2 linked regions of the Nothobranchius furzeri genome follow. The protein of the gene in region 2 interacts with the protein of the main gene of each other region in a pairwise test. Links are inferred from orthologs where the notes say so. Each region holds a gene or a part of one and is shown on either strand. Other genes may lie near its edges.

Evidence for each region.
Region 1: the proteins of tnfaip3 (region 2) and tax1bp1b interact in binary tests that used the Homo sapiens proteins (3 or more experiments, as listed by UniProt). The link is inferred for Nothobranchius furzeri from reciprocal best matches to the Homo sapiens genes TNFAIP3 and TAX1BP1.

What each region holds. Positions count from the first base shown.
Region 1 is NC_091757.1:59,022,216-59,026,038, forward strand, and holds part of tax1bp1b (tax1-binding protein 1 homolog B), read right to left. Parts: intron 2,247-3,823; 5' UTR 2,230-2,246; coding exon 2,053-2,229; intron 1-2,052.
Region 2 is NC_091752.1:25,134,768-25,139,265, forward strand, and holds the start of tnfaip3 (tumor necrosis factor alpha-induced protein 3), read right to left. Parts: upstream 2,946-4,498; 5' UTR 2,868-2,945; intron 342-2,867; exon of another isoform or gene 201-341; intron 1-200. UniProt on the Homo sapiens protein: Ubiquitin-editing enzyme that contains both ubiquitin ligase and deubiquitinase activities.

The sequences.
Region 1 (3,823 bases), on a different chromosome or scaffold from region 2:
GGCCTATGCCAGCTGATGCCACCGCACCACCCCACTTACACCCTCAGCCCTCGGTGTCTAAGTGCGGTTTAAAATTGGAAGAGGGCACCGGCACCCGGGAGGAGGCTGAGATATCCCCCTGCCAAATGCCGTTGAATGTGCTCACTCCCAAGGCCCTAAGTGTGTGTTTGTGTGGAATGTCGTCGGTGGAAGTGTATAAGGTGCAAATAAAATTGGGGGGCAGGTTGCCACAGGAATGCGGAAATGGGGTCCATACCCGCACTCCCTGACTTGCCCACTTGCCCCAGCAGAATATCTATGCCCATTCCCACATTTGCACAACTTCCAGAATATATGACATGGGAAATCCAGGTAAAGTTGGGTCCTCCCCCTCCCCTGTGATGGAACGGCAGAGGAGCCAAGGTCTACCTGAGGCCCCCGAACCCGGGCCAGGCACTGTTGCATGTTCCTGCCTTCTTCCCGGCAGCATACATGTCAGGACCCGACCCCCAAGGCCCCGCCCAGATCCCCACACAGGGCCGGCCATCCCGGCCAACAGCAGTACGTCCCCAGCACAAAGCATCCCAGTTTCAGGCATCAGCTATGGATCTAAGACAAGGTGTGTGCTGTAGAGTTTAAATGAAGATAAACTGAGTATCGCCAGTATGCTAACTGAGACTGAGAAATGTTTAGCTGGTACCTCTAAAAGGCAACAAGTGTTTTTTTTTTCTCCATGTTTTATTGCAAGTCAGTATGAGAATTAGACTAAAATGTTTGAAGAAGGAATGATCTTTTGTATAGCACCTCTCTAGATAAAAGTCACTAAGCACTTGCTTGCTTGTCGGCTTTGGTTTTGCATGCGTTTTTTTTTTTCAAGTATTTTATTTGTAACGTTGGAATTCTTATCTTTATTGCAAAAAAATTTATAACAGTAAATGTATAACAGTTTGGGAGTTAGTTTGTTTTATTGTTAGAAAAACAACCCTAGTTGTTAGCTGGAAAACAAAATGTATTTTCTCTATATTTCAGGAATCAGCATCATTTGACAGACTGGGCCAGAAAATCCATCCTTCTCAGCTGAACATGCTTCTGAGTTAAAGACTGCAAATGAAAAGGAACTGAATAAAATAAATGTTGTTATATAAATATACTGGTTGACTCATTTTTCACAACTAGTACAGCTCTGTTTACATTTTTACCGCATTTTCAAGTAAACAAAGGATTATCCAATTATTTCATTAATGAACAACTATAATAATCGATAGCTGCAGCCCTAGAACCAACCAGTGTAAAAAGAGCATATTTGCAAAATGAAAATTGTTTACTTCCATTTCAACAAATGAAATAAAGAAAACATGTGCAAGAGCTTTACAGGGAGTGAAATAAAGGCGTGTGTGTAAAATATGTACTACAAGACCCCAACTTTTATTTGGCATCCTTCCACAATTGAATGGAATCAAATAGTTGCTCTTAATAAGCTGCAGTAGTTTGACCAAGAGAAAATAGTGAACAATGTTTAGAACTTCAAATCAATGCTGATGTGTAACTTACCTTCTGGTGACACTTAAAAATAAATAGACTTTTAACGACTTTTTCTCAACAACTAAGATGGACTTCAGCCTTAGCATGAGTAATGATAAACTCTAATTTCTTTGGTTCCATCTTTAGACAAAGACCAAACACAAGGAGCCAAATCAAGCAGGAAGAGATGTGAACAGAGCTGTAAGTTTGTGTTTTTGTAACAATCGTCAGCCTATCTACACTTTCATCTGTTCTCTGGTAGATAAAACCATGCAGGTGGAGAAGAGACTAGCTAAACTTCAGACGAGGCCAAAATAAATTACTGCCACCGTATTGGGTTTAATGTGCCCCCTGTAACGAGATCCATGTGGGACACTTAAACGTGTGCTTGGGTCAAAATGCTCCACTCCTCTTGCCAAGCCTCTTGCCTTTTCCTTTTGCAGTATGAAAATCCTGAGCAGAGATTTACTTATTTCATGTTGCAACTAGCCAATATAAGATTTACCTTCTATGGTAGTCACAGAACTAAGGTAGGTTTACATTTCATAATACCTTAAATATGCCAACCCAGTCCTTTGGATGTGGTTTGATGAACTTTGTCAGGGTATAGTGACACTCCAGTGCAGCATGAGGAAGGTAACTCTTCCCCACATTCTGGAAGATGACATGTGCAAAGTTTGACGTGTCCATGTTTCTGCTCAATGAGGTTCTGTCCAGGTACAAATCCATCAATTTTTCAGCAGTGCCTAGACAGTGAGAAAGAAAAATGAAAAAATTAACAATGATATCCTGTGACTGGTCCACAGTTATTATAAGCTTTAGATTTTACAAAAGGCACTTCTCAGACCAAAAAGACAACATTGTGAGAATGCATTTTTAAACCTTAATGTGTAGAATGACTGTATCTAACTTTCAGTGATCTAACAGTTCATCTACATCTACTCGCTTCAATGCAACTAATGTATGGCTAATGACACCGAAGTGACTGTTTCACTCCTGTTCCATAAGTTTGACATCTGTTGCCAGTTACAGCTCAGCAATAGAAGTTTCCGGATGACAAGGAAAGATGAGTCATACACAGTAAGTTGATAATAAATACATTTCCCCGTAATATCAAGTCGTTGGTAATTGAAAAAGTAGCTTGAGACATTTTTAGAGCCGATTACAACAAAGTCAGTTATCAAACTGTGTCCTATCTTGTATCATGGCGCTAGTGCACATGTGGGCACCTTTATGCTTAAACATGGTGTTCATTATGGACAATTCATGATGAGCACAGAAGTCCAATAACAAAACACCACTTGAATTCATATTTGGGGGGGGGGGGGTCCCTTCAAACCACACGTCTCCAGATCTCATTGTTGTTGCCCATGTGAGTGTTGAAGTCTCCAAGGTGAACAAGGGAGTTACCAGATGGAGTGCTCTCCAGCACCCCTCCAAGGACTCCAGCGAAGATGGATAGTGTGATCTGCAGTTTGGTGCATAAGTTCAAGCAACCGTCAAGACCCGTCCCCTCACTCATTGGTGGAGGCAGGCTACCCTCTCATTCACCGGGACACACCCCAACGTATATGCACCAAGACTGGCTGCCACAAGTATGCCCACCACTGCTAGGCGCTTCTCAGTGGGGGCAACTCCAGAGTAGTAACATGTCCAGCTCCTTTCAAGGAAACTGGTTCCAGATCCAGAGTCATGCATCAAGGTGAGTCCGACTATATCTAGTCAGAACCTCTCAGCCTCTCACACCAGCTCAGGCTCTTTCCTCACCAGAGAGGTGACATTCTATGTACCAACTGCCACCTTCTGTAGTCGAGGATCAAAGCGCCTTTGGCCATCTACCATCTCACATGGCCCTTCCCACGAGCGGTGAGCCCATGGGAAAGAAGACCCACATCTCCTCTTCAGGCTGTACCTAGGGTTGCAGGTATTAACTGGTTTTACTATTAACCACGGTTAACCCCCCTGTAAAAAACAGGTCCAACATGGCCTATAAAAAGCAAAAAGACAATAACGTGACCTGCACGGATAAAACAAAAGTGAAACTTGAATGCACACACACTAAGTGCAAACACTAATGATTAATTGTATCCCGCTACATTACAGCGTTAATAAAAGTGCTCCTCTTCAATGAGTTTGTTACGTGCACGTCTCAGCAAGCTAACGGCCTGACCGAGGCCATTGTGAGCATGTTGGCCACGAGACTCCTGTCCATGGTCGGCGATCAAAGTTTCAAAGAAACGATCAAGCAGTTATTTCACCACAATGATGAAAAAGAAACATGAACAAACATGTGTGTGTGTTTATGTTTCTCTCTGGACACAAG
Region 2 (4,498 bases):
TCGTTATCCGCTCGAGGGTGACGTCTTTGTAAACAATGGCTGTCAAAGCCACTGTCGTGAGCAGGCTTCCTCCTCCATGTCCCCAGAAACACGACCACACGTTACTCCAGGCCCAAACATGGTGTATCTACTCAGTCTGACCGCCTTCGGCGGGGAATGTTGTCCACACGGAGACGTAGAAGGCAGGACGGTTGTCTTACCTGTGTAATATGTCGGGAGGTAGTAACAAAGCCTCCCGGATGCTCAGGCTAGTCCTCTCTCAGCCACTTCACTCAGCGCAGCGCTTCTCGGCGCCATTCAACCTCCTCTTTCCTTCTGTATCAGATCTATTCTGGAGCTCTCGCAGCTCGCGAAGCTTTTCGAAACAACAGACACTCACGTCCGCTAACGCTAGTTTTTTTTTTTTTTTTTTTTTGAGAAAAAAAGTCCAAGTCAAGGGGATTTCCACGCAGGGACTTTCCGTTCACCCATTTTCCTCCCTCTCTCAGTCACAACCTGGTGCAGTAGGGGCCCGCGGCCGCTAGGGGGCTCCTCTCTGACTGACTCAGTACTGAAAAGCATATCCCACCTACTGAGCACAAAGGAGCGTCACTCTGTTTCATGAAACAGCCTTAGAAATAAATCATTAACCCTGAAAAAGACTAACCTCAGCGAATAAGTCAGGAATACGAAAGACAAACACGTGAGAAGCAGATTTTTAAAGTGTTTACAACAGACTGTTGTTTGGACTCCTGACATGAATATGGGCTTTCTGCAACACACAAGTCCCAGTATCACTCTTCTCTTTTATTCAGCGTTTTATGCTTATTAAACTCCTGTTTTGTTGTAATTTTGTTCTGAACACAGATGCACAACAGGTGGGTGTCTAGAGGGGGGCCTGGGGGAGGCGAGGGGGGAGAGGCACAGACAGGCCCCCTTGCATAAAAGACTGGCCACCCCAGGTGCCACCCCAGAAACTGAGACAGTAAAACATCTAGTGCATATAATAAATAAAAATCTAAAACATATAAACAATATCAAATCAAAGGTGAGATGGCATGGTGTTTACTGTTTTAGTATGTTTTGCATTAAATTGAGCTTGGTTAATGCTCCAAAGTATTTCAGAAATTCAGATGACGAGACTATTGGGTTCAAACAAAACAACAAACCATTCTGTTTCTTGTTGAGGTACATTTTTTCATTGATGCTATGTTTTAAAGCTCATCTATTTATGTTGTTAGGTGAAAAATATTTAAATAATTACAAATAAACAAAAAGTAAAAATGCACTAAAACGCTAGTCTGGAAATGATATCTCCTACTGTGCAAAGACCTAGTCTGGATGTCCTGCAGACGTGGTCTGGACTAACAGACTTAAGGATCTGCACATCCATGTGACATTTGTTTGCAGGGCTACTTAATCCAAAGTGCGTCCTCCTCTCTTTTCTAAAATAATTCTGACTTTACAATGTCAGGGAAAGTCCCAATGTTATTATAATAAATGTATGCATTCATTAACGGAAAAGTGTCAGATAATTATTGATAAAAGTGCACCATGTTTGTGCTTTGGCTTTATTTTAGTTTATAGTAGCCAATTAGATCATGATCAACGCTTAGTAATTTAGTAAAAAAATATGAAGTTTTGTTTCAAAGTTATGAGCCGTTTACAACTGCCACCCTTATCTAAATATGTGCCACCCCCCAAAATAAATTCTAGACATGCCACTGATGCACAACCCACATGTACTGACAAGACTTGAAAAATAATAAAATTGCAGATGTGGAAAAACATCTCAAACATGAATGTAACTTTTTATGATAAAACTGCATTTATTTATATCTGTTGTGAATTTTATTAAGATAACCCTTTGTGTAAAACATGTAAAAGATGAAAGACTGTGAGCTATTATATAATAATAATAATAATAACAGCAATAATAATCATATATATTCTACCCACACTACACATGTGGGGTTACAAAGAAAGAAATTGTGAATTCAAATGACTTATTTTGGCATTTCAAATCAACTATATCAAACTCAAGCATCATATTTATTTGCAAATACTTGGAGAAATTAGCCGCAGCATCCAGACGGTGTAGAGAGTAAAACAGTTACTAATGCTTATGTTTAATCCCACGCTCTTTTCAGCACCTTTTGGTCATGGTGGTTTACAAACTGTTGCCACAGACTGAAGCAGAGCCCTCCAACGGTCGTAACAGTGGTCTACCAGCCTGACAGCTACTGTGCTTTTGTTGCAGCTATCAGACTTCTGATGGTGATGGGAGGAACAGAAAGATGATTTAACATCTGAATGGCCTGAATAGAGAAATACCACTCACCTCTTTGATTGAGTTCATGACAGAAATTTAGTTTGTGTTGTTTGCGTTTGTTCCTATCGGGATCAAATTTACAGTTTGTTCAAAACATTTAGAGAAAATTACCATTATTTCAGTTTCTTAGGTCATTTTCATTTTTTATTTTTATAACCCCCCCCCCCCCCCCCCCCCAGTTATTTTCAAAAGAAAATTTGACTGAAAGTTTTTTGTGCCTTGTTTTATGGATGTTTTGCTTAATGTTTGTATCCAGCCAATGATATTTGATATTGCTTGTATATTAATTTATTCACCGTCCACTGAATTTGCTTTTTTCAGCAAATATATAGGCCTATCTATGCTATACATACAAATATGGATTTTCTACATGATAATCCTTTAAGCAATATTTGATTTGCATAAACTGTTCTGCATCAAGCCTTAGAATAAAGCTCCACACAGATCAAAACAAGAGAAATAGAAGACACGTATCTCAGCTGAAAATTAAAGTGCTTCAAAATAAAAAATATCATTCACACATTAAATCACACACTCAAAAAATTGGTCAACTCACCAGTAAAGTTGATTTTAGCTTAAATCTTAAAGACACAAGCAAACCGTAAGGTTTTAGCTACCTGCTGTCATCCCATGCTGCCACCCCTCTGCTGACTCACTGCTCCCCTTTCCATTTTCCTTTCTCTTCCCTGTGGAACGCCTCCTAGTTCCCTGTTCGGCTGGCCAAACACCACAGTTCTGTTTCCTCCCTACTCACACAGGGAATAGAAACCTAAGAAACATAATCACCTGACAAATAATTCTGGAATTATTCACTGAATTTGACATTAAAACCCCAACCACTATATTCCAGATTTGATATTTAGCACATTTTCTAATCAATGCCTGGATTGTATTTAGAAATGTTTGTGTTTGTAATGGTAATAATGTACAAAACTTTCACACATGTTTAGAGGGTTTGTCACTTGGTCACGTTTGACTGAGTCAGGCTTGAATGATGAATGCAAGCTGGTTATGGGAGCTATTAAATAAAAGCAGCACAGTCACAAGCAGATTATGGAAACTCCCCAGAAAAGACAAATGACCCACTGGTGTGCTCAAGCCAGTAACTGGTTGGTCACAAAAAAGTTTTAAAAAATAAATCACATTTTTCTGTGGTGGAAAAAGGAAATGCTTGGAATTGAATCAAGTCATGGGTGAAGTTTCATTTAATATTGTTTAAAACAAGAGCACAAACAGGCTGAAAACATCAAAATCCTGTTTAAAGGGATACTTTTTTATATTTTCACATCATTTTTTGAGCCAGTATGTGCTCAAATGACCCTTAAAGGCTACCCAGCCTCTATCGCCCCCTGTGGTCAGAATGTTCCACTTGCAAATTTAGACTGGTGGCCGTTTTGTTGGGACTTAGAAAAAATCGAGCTGACATACCTGGTGCTGCAGTCTGGTTCCAGCATTTCAGCTGTTAGATTAAGGCGTTCAAAAGACAAACGCACAGCGAGGAGATACGTTTGCTTTCTGTTCTACAAGCAAACACTAGGGGGTACTAAAAGCAAACCAAAACAGCCTAGTTCCCCTTTAAATGTTAAAAAAGCTTTAATAGTTTTAAAACAATACGAAGTAAAACTCTACATTCTCTTTATTTAAGATATTTTACCAACACAGCTACAATTTTCATAAAAACAGTCATATAATAATGTTCTGAAATGTATTATCAGACCAATTTATTTTGAAATTTATTCAGAAATTAGAATAAGCATTTTTCTTTTTTCCTCCATTCGCTTTTATTTTGCAGGTACGATACAACGTTTTTATTTTTGCAACATTTTGAACACATGAGAAGATTCGTGCTGAAGCCAACAATCTGAATATTTCCATCCTGACAGCAAAGTAAGTGCCAGTGACACGTTTCACAACTTTAACTTCCTTCCTGAATTACAACACTTTTATAAGTTACACGCATGCATTCTCATTTATCTATGGTTTTATTATAAAGTACGCAAAATTATCAAATCCTCAAATATGGCGTCTGTGACTTGTTGAGTTTTCACAAAAAATGACTTAATATGTCAGATATTTGGTTCTATATTCTGACTTGTTGAATGTTTTACAGAACTCACTTTTGGCCACCATTAAAAAAATATCACATGGCAGTATTTTCTCCTCAGTCCGCCAAAGAGCCACATTTGT